Cricetulus griseus: one gene and its partners. The protein of the gene in region 3 interacts with the protein of the main gene of each other region in a biochemical or structural test. Links are inferred from orthologs where the notes say so. Each region holds a gene or a part of one and is shown on either strand. Other genes may lie near its edges. The genes, in order: Luc7l, Rbm15 and Srpk2.

Region 1 (3,647 bases), on a different chromosome or scaffold from region 3:
TCCAGGACGGCCAGAACTGTTACACAGAGTAACTGGGTTTAACTGGGTGTAACTTAAAAAACTGCAAGATAAAAAGAAAGGCTAAAGTTAACCACAAGACACAAGACTCCAAAGGCTTCTCCAGAAATAGTATATTAACATACCCTCAACTGATCAAGCTTCTCTCGGATCTGAATGAACCCCAAGTGTAACTTGCCCCCGAAGTGATCTGCAAGACGACGGTCATTGTCATGGAGACCAAGGTAAGCTGAACAAACCTCGCAGACTCGGAGCTTTTGCTGTTGAAAACTGGATGCAGGCATGGAATTTCTATATTCTTCCTATGGGGGGAGAGAGGGATAAAGATGAGGCATTTCAGAACTGTCACAATGTAGACCCCAGGAAAACCTGAAATATAATTAACATTTCACTACATGTTGAAAACTGGATTGTTCAGCTTCAATTTCATTGTTTATTTTAAAAGAACATTTAGAGGGAGGCGGTTTTCCAGGACAGCTAGAGCTACATACAGAAACCCTGTCTTGAGAGAAAACAAAACAAAACAAAAAACAAAGCATAAAAAACCTACATTTATGTGTGTCTTATCAAAAGCAACAAGGAACATTCGAAACATGGAGATAAGAATGACTGTTCTGAGACCAACAGGGAAGACAAGACTTCAAAAGTAAATAAAAACTGGGGCTGGAGAGAGATGGTTCAGCAGTTAGGAGCACTAGATGCTCTTTCAGAAGACCTGGGTTTGGTTCCCAGCATCCACAATGGAAATAACAATCATCTATGACTTCAGTTACAGGATCTCTTCTGGCTTCTGGGAGCACTAAACACACGCAGTGCATCCATATAGGCAAAGCACCCACATACATAAAATATATATATATTTTTGACACAGGGTTTCTCTGTGGCTTTGGAGGCTGTCCTAGAACTAGCTCTTGTAGACCTGGCTGTGCCTCTGCCTCCCAAGTGCTAGGATTAAAGGCCACCACTGTCTAGGCCATAAGATAATTTTCTTAACTTAAAAAAAAAAAAAAAAGTTGGAGCTGGAGAGATGGCTCAGAGGTTAAGAGCACACTGGCTGTTCTTCCAGACGTCCTGAGTTCAATTCCCAGCAACCACATGGTGGCTCACAACCATCTGTAATGAGATATGGTGCCCTCTTCTGGTGTGCAGACATACATGGAAGCAGAATGTTGTATACATAATAAATAAATAAAATCTTAAAAAAAAAAAAAAAGTTGGGCCACAGAGATGTCTCAGAGGTTAAGAGCACTGGCTGCTGTTTTAGAGGACCTGAGTTCAATTTCCAGCAACCACATGGTGGCTCATGTCCATCTACAATGATATCTGGTATCCTCTTCTGGTATGCAGGTATACACGGAGGTAAAATGTTGTATATATAATACATAAATTAATGTTAAAAAAAAAAAAAGAATGTATACTTTGCATTGGGTGGTGGCGGCACAGGCCTTTAATACTCAGGAGGCAGAGGCAGGCGGATCTCTATGAATAAATTTGAGGCCAGCCTGGTCCACAGAGTGAGTTCCAGGACAGCCTCCAAAGCTACACAGAAAAACTGTTTTGGAAAACCAAAAACCAAAAAACCAAACTGCACGAGCAGTATACATTCCCAGCATCATGTCAGGAGGCAGCTCACAACCTCCAATAATTCTAACAAGGGAGATCCATTGCCTTTAGTCCACCTCACCCAACTACACAGATGCACATAAATCCCCACACACATAATTTAAAATACTTATTTCTAAAAAGTAAACAAAAGCTAGCACAGTCACAGCAATTATATCCTGATATACAGGAAATATCTAATGCAGATCTAAAAGATACTTTGAAAGGCCAAATCATTGACACTTTACTTAAAGAAAAAAGTAGCCAATACATAATATGCATCCTTCAGGAACACTAAAATGTTTATTTAACCCGTGTCACCATATATTAAAAACAAGGTTACCAGCCAGGCAGTGGGGGTGCACATCTTTAATCCCAGCACTCCTGAGGCAGAGAGGGCAGGTGGATCTCTGTGAGTTAGAAGACAGCCTGGTCTAGGGGCTGGAGAGATGGCTCAGCCGTTAAAGGCAAAGTTCACAACCAAGAAGACAGCCTGGTCTAAAAGTGACTTCCAGAATACAGAGCTATTAAACAGAGAAACCCTGCCTCGAAAAATGAAAAAACAAACTTAAAAAAAAAAAAAAATAGGTCACCACTACAAAACGATTTAATGTGAAAACCCACCAAGAATTGAGAAACAATAAATGTTCTGTGTAGATAAAATGGAAGCCTATAGCAATTAACTGAGTAAGACCTTGTCTTAGTTACTATTACTAATTAACTAGTGTTACTACTGCTATATGAAACACCAAGACAAAAAACAAGTTGGGAGGAAAGGGTTTATTGTAATTTGGTGTACATTTCCAGAAGCGTACTTTACAGATGTTAACTCATGTGATCCTCTAACCTGTCCTGAGGGACTACAGACATGTGCAGTATAGACTATAGATCTCTTAAGGGCCGGAGATATGGGTTAAGAGCACTGGCTGGCTGCTCTATAAGAGAACCCTGGTTGAACTCCCAGCACCCCAACCATCCAGTCCCAGGGGATCCAATGCCCTTTTCATACCTCTGCAAGCACATGGTATATAAACGGACATGTAAGCAAAACATCCATACATATTAAAAAGTTAATATTCTCATTGTTTAGGCCAGGCTGGTCTGGGATGCAAGATCCTTCTGCCTCAGGCTCTCAAGCCCTGAAATATCTGTTATGGGAAACCATGCCCAGCTTATCATTTTCTTAAAATCAGTTATAGAAATGGAAAGCCAATGAGAACACCACACCTAATCACCAGAAATCAGAAGGGGTTGTGGCTACAAAAGGATCTCTGTATTACTTATTACATATTTTCTTTTAATTGGAGGTTATTAGATTTGTGAGTATGATGTGTGTATGAGTACAATAAAACCAGCAACCTATAGTTACCTCTGAATCCCTGATCCATCGAGAAGCTGCTAGTACCTGCTCCTCTACCAGGGTTTAAGGCATACTGTACGTATATACCTGTAACCAAGAAGGATGCAGAGATCCCTCCTGTCAGGATTCAGGCATTATACTGGCTTGCCCCTGTTACCAGGCAGAATTCTGGTCAGCCCAGGGTTCTATGAGTACTAAGTCTGCACAAAGGTGTATGTAAAGGACCCCTTTAAAAGACAGACCCCCCACCCACTTACACTCTCTTGCCCTCTCCTCTTGCTCTTTTTGCTCTTGCTCTCCTCTCTCTCCCCTCGTCTCTCTCTTCTCCCCCTTTAATAAACTCTATGTGTTCCATTGAGATTATGTATCAGCTAACTTAAACAAAAGAACAACACCTCCTCTCTAGCCTAGGGAGTACTTGGTACAAGAAGGTATCTGAGTCATGACTCATCACCATCACTCATCACTGCCACATTCATGGTGTTTCTATACCCCTAGGGTACAGTCCAAGCACTAGTCCCATAGTTTTTTAGGGTAATTCTATCTAGGCATCTCAGCTATGTTATGAATCTCTTTTATCTCCCCCCCATTATTTTTTTTTTACTTCATTTTACATTCTAACCACAGTTCTCCCTCCCCATCCACTGTCTTTGTCTTTTAAGCTAAG
Region 2 (3,647 bases), about 120 Mb from region 3:
CACTCCTTCTCCTGACCGAAGTCCAGAACTGAGCAGTAACAGAGATCGCTACAACAGTGACAACGATCGATCTTCTCGTCTTCTTTTGGAAAGGCCCTCTCCAATCAGAGATAGACGGGGCAGTTTGGAGAAGAGCCAGAGTGACAAGCGAGACCGTAAAAACTCTGCATCAGCTGAACGGGATAGGAAGCACCGGACAGCTGCTCCCACAGAGGGAAAAAACCCTCTGAAAAAGGAAGAACGTTCTGATGGCAATGCACCCAGTGCCAGCGCGTCATCATCAAAGCAGAAAGCTCCTTCCCAGAAACAGGATGGAGGGACAGCTCCTGTGGCAGCATCCTCTCCCAAACTCTGTTTGGCTTGGCAGGGCATGCTTCTACTGAAGAACAGCAACTTCCCTTCCAACATGCATCTATTGCAGGGTGACCTCCAAGTTGCTAGCAGTCTACTTGTGGAGGGTTCAACTGGAGGCAAAGTAGCCCAGCTCAAGATCACTCAGCGTCTCCGTTTGGACCAGCCCAAGTTGGATGAAGTAACTCGTCGCATCAAAGTGGCAGGGCCCAATGGTTATGCCATACTTCTGGCTGTACCTGGAAGTTCTGACAGCCGATCCTCCTCTTCGTCAGCTACATCAGACACTGCCACCTCTACACAGAGGCCACTTAGGAACCTTGTGTCCTATTTAAAGCAAAAGCAGGCAGCTGGGGTGATCAGCCTCCCTGTGGGGGGCAACAAAGACAAGGAGAACACAGGGGTTCTTCATGCCTTCCCACCTTGTGAGTTCTCTCAGCAGTTCCTGGATTCCCCTGCCAAGGCACTGGCCAAATCTGAAGAAGATTACCTGGTCATGATCATTGTTCGTGGTGCGTCCTAAAGTCCATGTGTAACTTGTATTTACTATTTTGACATGGTTCCTTGTTTTGTGATATGTAATGGGATACAGCATCAGATAAATTTCTTTCAATTAGTTTAGTTGGTTTTTTTATATATATATTTTTGTAAACCTCCTTAAAATAGATATTGGGGCGATTTAGCTATTATTTTAAGTGAAAGGGATGCCCTGAAGGTAGCAAGAGGATGGATTTGCTTTAATTAGGAATTACTTTTCTTTTTCTTCTGGTATTTTTTTTTTCAGTCTCTTGAGTTTAAAAAAAAATCCTCAAAATGATAAAACCTACAACTTTTAGAATCATAATTTGGAGGAAAGAGCCTTTTGTACTGAAAAAATAGTGTGATTGGTGCATAGATAGTTTCTATACTAGAAGCATTAATCAGGTATTCCAAAGTTCAATTATTTTAATCAGGTATTTGAGTATTTTTCTTATTCCCAGAAAGTTTGCTTGCTTTAACATTTATGTCATTAGTTTTTGAGTTTTGTATCCTGTGTATGTAGCTGTAATTGGTAAAAATTGAGGCTTGTGTTATAAACCATTTACATCTTTAGCTGGTCTGCAAGAAATGAGTAAGTGCTTTTAAAATGAGAAGTTTTTGGTAAGTTAGGTGCACAGTGGTGTTTTTATTGACTTTGAGGGGTACAGCAAATACAGTTTTAATTGTGTATACTTCAAAACCAAAAATTAAGTTTTTTGTATCCATTTAAGAAATTTCTGATTCCAGTAATAGAAAGAACAGCTGTCTGCAGGCTTATAAGTAACTCCCCCCCCACTCCCATGGTCATTAATCAAACATCTGAATTACAGATTTTTTTTAAGGTTATTGTAAAATGCCCTTGATATATTTGAAGAAAATTCCTTCATATTTTATCTTCATATTTAAACCAGAGTAGTGGCATTACATTGTTGACAGTGTTTTGAATATCTTTGAAATTTAATGTCTAGTATTCTAGTATTTTGACTGCTCTCTGGCCTTATAGAGGTTTGAAGTGTCAGTGTTAGAAACCCCTTTTTCTTTTTCTTTTTTTCTTTTTTTTGTTTTTTGTTTGTTTGTTTGTTTGTTTGTTTTTCGAGATAGGGTTTCTCTGTGTAGCTTGGAGCCTATCCTGGCACTCGCTCTGGAGACCAGGCTGGCCTTGAACTCACAGAGATCCGCCTGCCTCTGCCTCCCGAGTGCTGGGATTAAAGGGATGCACCACCAATGCCAGGCTTAGAAAATCCTTTTTTATTTGATTTCTCAGGTGTTTAAAAAAATTAAACACCTGCTCAGAACTCACCCACCCCACCCAAAATAAAAAGCTGAGGATACATGGCATCTGGTACTTAATGAGGGCTTCTGCTACTTAGTATTGTTTGTTTTATGTGCTCTTCTGCCACTATTTGTGATGTCTAAGTCCATTATTAAATATGATTTTCTTCCCCAATTTAAGTACTGAGGATTTCAAGTAGGGTTTGGTATTTAGTTATGATTAGGAACTTGAGTTTTTGGATCATGGTTGTTTTATATTCTGTGAAAGTGACTTACTCAAAGCCTTGCAGAGCCCAACTGTTTTCTTTCTGTTATCAAAGCTGGTAGATTTGAAATAGCATCAATAATAACCCAGAGAAATGTTACATGATTTTAATTTTTCATTGTGACAAGTGTATAATTCATGTCAGTCTGAGAGCCTCATCACCTACTACATCATACTTTTGTTTTTCACTGTTTATAATTTTTATATTAATTTGGAGACTTTTGAGAAAAAGAATGTACTAGGCTTATGAGCACAAGGCCCTTAGTGTGCCTATAGGAAAAATACCTGAAATCTACAACGAAGACTTTGGGTGTCTTTTGTTTCCAAGAACAGTAGTTGGCATGAAATAGACATCTATTCAGAAGCTGATGCGAGTATAGTCAGAGTACGTGGAGTTTAAGTACAGTTTTTAGTTAGGTAGATAGATTTTTTTTCTAGTTTAAATAATTTCACTAGCCATTAACCTTTTAATATTTTTTGGTAAGATAGTTGGGCAAATGATTTTGTTGTTAGAGAGTGAAGTCTGTGACATCTAATTTTACTATTAATCAAATGTGTTGTGATGGTTTTCCTTTTTTAAAAACATTGTTGGTTAACACCTTATTCAAGAGTACCAATTTTTGTTCCATGTTTGAACCCTTATCTGACAATGCTACGTTGTTTTGTTAGATCTGATCAATTAGTGCTTCAGTGTTTTTGAAACAGTGGCTTGATGCCATTTCCAAATATATGTATTATGTAAATTAGTTTGGTGCTTACCTACAAAGTGCCATCATCTTATTTGTGTTGCCCACTCTTGTGCAGGTTCATAATATCTGGCAATTAGCACTTAAACCTTCAGAATTTGATTGAAAGCAGCTTAAAACTGTTTCTAAATCTCATTGGCTGTATCAGAATCCCATATTGGATATTCTTTTAAAACATTATTTTATGCATATGGGTGTTTTGCCTGTATGTATGTCTGTATACCACATGCTCATTGCTCTTCCAGAGGACCCAGGTTTGGTTTCCAGCACCTAATCCTAGGGGATCCAACACCCTCTTCTGGCCTTGGGATACTCATTTTAACAACACATTTTTTTGTTTTTTGTTTTCTTTCTTTAATGACTAGTACTTTAACTTTTTTTTCTTTCTCCTAAAATGAATGGAAAGAAAATTTCTTAAGTATGCTATTTATTAAATATACTGGTAAAAATAAAATTAAGACTTTATTGATCACAGCTTCAAAGTTTTTGGAAAG
Region 3 (4,298 bases):
GGAAGCAGAGACAGACATCCACAGATATACACTGAGCTGAAATCGGGAATTTAGTTGAAGAGAGGGAGGAATGAAGAGCAAAGGGGTCTGTACCAGGTTGGAGAAACCCACAGGAACAATTGGCCTGAACAAGGGAGAGCACATCGACCCCAGATGCTGTCTGGGAGGCCAGTACAAGACTGATCCAGACCCCTGAACATGGATGTCAATAAGGAGGCCTCTGCACTCCAGGGAGCCTCTGGTGGTGGATTAGTATTTTTCCCTGGTGTAAGAAGGGACTTTGAGAGCCCATCCCATGTGAAGGGTTACACTCTGGCCCTGGACACATGGGGAAGGGCCCAGGACCAGCACAGGAAGATTTGGTGGACTTTGCAGAGCCCCCGTTGAGGGCCCTACCCTGCCTGGGGAGTGGTGGGTGGATGGGGTGGGGGTAGGCTGGGGGTGGGGGAGGAGGGATGGGGTGAGGGGAGGGAGAGGGAGAAGGGACTTACATGTGAAACAAGATTGTTCCCTAACTAGAACTAATAAATAAATTTAAAAAAAAAAATTTTAAGCTTCATGGGGTATTACTGTCGTGTACAAAGCTTTCCCATCATCTTCTAAGGCATATAAATATGCATCAAATGCATGAATAATTGTATCCATCAATTATATAAAACAATAATTTTTTTTAAAAAAACCTAAGTTAAAAGTCATACCTTCCCACCATCTCTGATTTGATCTGGGTTCTTACTGATAAACACCTTGTACATCAAGCCAGTTCATCCCATCATTAACTGCTATTGTTTTCCTTCAAACTCAGTACAAAACAGAAGAGACTGGCAAAGTGATATAAGATTAGATAAATTATGTTCCTATTCCTAGTTCATTACATAGCACAAATGCAAGCTATAGTAAAGCAAAGATCCTTGACCATTATGAAACATCCTAAAACAGGAAAATAATGAAATACATGCTCACTCAATTAAAAATGCTTTTTCTATGTGAACATGTAATATGCACATAAATAAATGTACACTTATACACAAAGAGCTATCCTAAAAAGTTGAGTCATGCTTTGTCAACTCCTTTCAGATTTTTTTTTTTCTGTCCTGAGACAGGGTTTCTCTGTGTAGCCCTAGCTGTCCTGGAACTCACTCTGTGGATCAGGCTGGCCTTGAACTCAAAGAGCTCCACCTGCCTCTGCCTTGAGGGTGCTAGGATTAAAGGCATGTGCCACCATAGCCCAGCAATAGCGCTAGTTTTTAGAATGCATCAAACTATCAGAAGCCTTCACTGGGTTTCAATATTTTAAATACCCCGTATATGCCCAGGGAGATGGTTCAGAGGGTAGAGGTGCTCGCCACCATGCCTGACATCGGGAGTTTGATCCCTGGGTCCCACACATAGTAGAGAATCAACTCTTGAAAGTTGTTCCTTGACTTCCACAGGTGTCAGGGCTCGTACACACCCCAAATCCAAACACAAAAGCTTTTTTCTTATTTTCAACTTTTACCTTCCAGTTTTCAAGTGTTTTGCCTCCTAAGTTAAAAAAAAAATTTACATAGATATCCACATCTTATTCAATTTTGAATGAAGACAATCCTACTGTAAAACACTTTCATATTAGCAATGACTCCCAGTTTTCCTAGATGCCACCGAATGAGTGGGAAATCCTCTAGGCTGAGACTAGGGCCAACAACCACCACCTAGGGGATAGAGCAACCTTTGCTCAACCCTTGCAAAATAAAGCTAGACAGTACTTCGGATTTTACTAAAGGCGATTCTGTTTTTCTTCAATAGTTTTAAAGATACCACACACAAATTTCTTGCGCAAAAAGAACGAAGCAACCAACGTGAACGTGAGCAAAGATGTTGAACGCTGGTCCGGCAAACCCAGGAGGAAAAAGGCACATTTGGCGGCGCTCGGAAGCCTCGGAGCACCTAGCTCGCCGCGAAAGGCTTCTTCAGCAGCTGCCGCCCAACCGGGACGTGGCTGGAGCTGGCACATTTGAAATATCACCAGCCGAAGGATGCAGTCCGGAGCACCACGCGGGACGCGCCCGCGCACACGCCCACCGCCCGCTGCAGCGAGCGACCTGGGCGCAGCAGCAGCGCGCAAGTAACGCTCGACCCGAGCACAAAGTTTCGAATGAAAAATCCGACAGCCGAAAACGCACCGGTCCCGGAGCTGAAGTCGCGCTAGGAACGCGCCCGAGGCCAAACCACTTGACAAGCTGGATGGCCCGATGGCCGACACGGGAGCCGGGGGTGGCAGCGGCGGCGGCGCGCGGCGGCGGCTATGCGCTGGCTCCCTCCGCCCAGGTGTCAGCGCGCCGCCGCCGCCGCCGCCGCCGCCGCCGCCGCCTCCCTGGCTCGCCCGCTCGCCCGCCCGCTCGCTCCCCATCCGAGCGACGCAGGACCAGGACCCGGGTACGGATCGCGGGTGTGGCTCGGGCGCGTGAGGCTCGCAGGCCGCTGGGCCAGGTCGCAGCTCCGGAACCCGCGGCCGCGCGCCCCTCCCCCTCCTCCCTCCTCCCTCCTCCCTCGCTGGGGCGCGCAGAGCCGGCGCCGCGTCCCAGGAGACCCGCCGCCCGCGGCCCGGGGACCGGGGACCGGGGACCGGGGAGCTCGGCCGCAAGCAGCCCTCGGCGCTGCGGGGCGGGGCGGGGCGGGGCGGGGCCGGGCCCGAGCGCCGCGCGGACTCACTTTTTCGGATGTTTCTCTCTTTTCGGCCTCCGCTTTCGGGCCTGAATGGCCAGCACTGAGGAGAGAGAAGACACATTAACGGTCCGGCCGGCCGCCTGCGGGCCGCGAGGCGGGGCAGGGGCCGCGCGCGCCGCTCACCTTTCCTGGAGCTCATTCCGACTCGGGGCAGCCGAGGGGCCGGGGGGAGGGGCGGGCGGGCGGCGGCGCGGCGGCGGCGGCGGCGGCGCGACAACCAGCGACAGCCAGCCGCACCGGGATGCAGCTTCCACTCGCTCGCCGGCCGGAGGAGGCGGGAACCGCGCCTGCGCCGCCGTGGCCGCTCCCGCGGAGGCCAATGGGACCCGCCCCCGCGGCCCCGCCCGCGGCCCCGCCCCCTCCGCGCTCCCACCGCGCCTCCGGTGTCTAGGGGTCGGGACCCCGCCGCGCCCCGGGGGGCGCAGCGCCCGCCAGCCCTGCGGCCGGCCTGGGTGCCAAAGCGGGGGAGCGGGCGGGCGAGCGAGCGAGCAGCCGCCGCCTCCCGCTCCCCGCCTCCCACGGGGCGCCTCCTCCGCCGCAGGCCGCCGGCCCCTGAGCACCGGGCCCAGCCGAGCGACCCTTCCTCCCAGCCCCGCCTCGCTCCGCACCCGGGCGGGTCGTGCCGCACGCCCCTCCGCGCGCCTGTCCTCCGCCCGCGCCTCCGCGGTGCTCACGCCACCTCTCTTCCCGCGGCTTCTTCTCGCCCTCTACGCCTCTGCACCCCTGCATCCCCATGAGCGCAGCTTCCTCCTCTCTGGCGAGCGTGGAAAGGGCACAAGAGCCGGAGAACCTAGGTCCTTGAGTGTGTGGTGACCTTGGAGAAGTGATTGCCTCTCTCCTGTTCCTACTCCCACAGGACTGCGTGAGGTTAATGAAGGAAAAGATGCGTATAGCTTGAAAGGAAAGTTTGGCGCATGAAGCCCAGTTTTCTAAATACCGTGAGATGAGAGCTTAAAACAAAAATCATGCTAAGCAGTGCTTTTTTCTTCCTCCTACAATGGGGAAACAACCCGAAATAGGTCGAACAGTACTACCAGACCCTATCCTTATTCACGCCTGGCTAGTTTCTCTTTCCATCTTCCCAGGCTACCCAGGATGTGAATCAAGCTGACTGGCACATAGCTTTTACCTCAGTGTTCTCTTGGGCTCTTTAAACAGTTACAGTATCTTTCACAGATAACACGCCCTGAGCATTCAGACCTCCTTTGGTTACAATTGTATCATTGAGTATTATTCTAAAAATGTCCAAACACGAAAGGCTGCTTTGAGTTTGAAGAGAATGTACTTTTTCCATTTTTTTATTCTAAAAAAAAAATATCAAACAGCGGAGCGGTGGTGCCGCACACCTTTAACCCCAGCATTCTAGAGGCACAAGCAGAGGCAGGTGGATCTCTGTGAGTTCGAGGCCTGCCTGGTCTATAGCGCAATTTCCTGGACAAAATACGAGAAAAATGCAGTAATGGACGCTATTAACCCACATTCATTTTTTTTTAACATTTCTTTCCATCTGCTTCTAAGTGTGTGCATGGTTTATTTTGCAGAATCATTCAGTAGTTTGTACATTGCCTGTCTACTAGGAACAAAGATATTTTTCT

The links.
Region 1: of the proteins of Srpk2 (region 3) and Luc7l, one has a biochemical effect on the other in vitro, tested with the Homo sapiens proteins (2 studies listed by BioGRID and IntAct). The link is inferred for Cricetulus griseus from reciprocal best matches to the Homo sapiens genes SRPK2 and LUC7L.
Region 2: of the proteins of Srpk2 (region 3) and Rbm15, one has a biochemical effect on the other in vitro, tested with the Homo sapiens proteins (2 studies listed by BioGRID and IntAct). The link is inferred for Cricetulus griseus from reciprocal best matches to the Homo sapiens genes SRPK2 and RBM15.

The regions. Positions count from the first base shown.
Region 1 is NC_048600.1:45,892,784-45,896,430, reverse strand, and holds part of Luc7l (putative RNA-binding protein Luc7-like 1), read right to left. Parts: intron 321-3,647; coding exon 144-320; intron 1-143. UniProt on the Homo sapiens protein: May bind to RNA via its Arg/Ser-rich domain.
Region 2 is NW_023276806.1:49,816,749-49,820,395, forward strand, and holds part of Rbm15 (RNA-binding protein 15), read left to right. Parts: coding exon 1-863; intron 864-3,647. UniProt on the Homo sapiens protein: RNA-binding protein that acts as a key regulator of N6-methyladenosine (m6A) methylation of RNAs, thereby regulating different processes, such as hematopoietic cell homeostasis, alternative splicing of mRNAs and X chromosome inactivation mediated by Xist RNA.
Region 3 is NW_023276806.1:170,914,337-170,918,634, reverse strand, and holds the start of Srpk2 (SRSF protein kinase 2), read right to left. Parts: upstream 2,857-4,298; 5' UTR 2,843-2,856; coding exon 2,827-2,842; intron 2,744-2,826; coding exon of another isoform or gene 2,689-2,743; intron 1-2,688. UniProt on the Homo sapiens protein: Serine/arginine-rich protein-specific kinase which specifically phosphorylates its substrates at serine residues located in regions rich in arginine/serine dipeptides, known as RS domains and is involved in the phosphorylation of SR splicing factors and the regulation of splicing.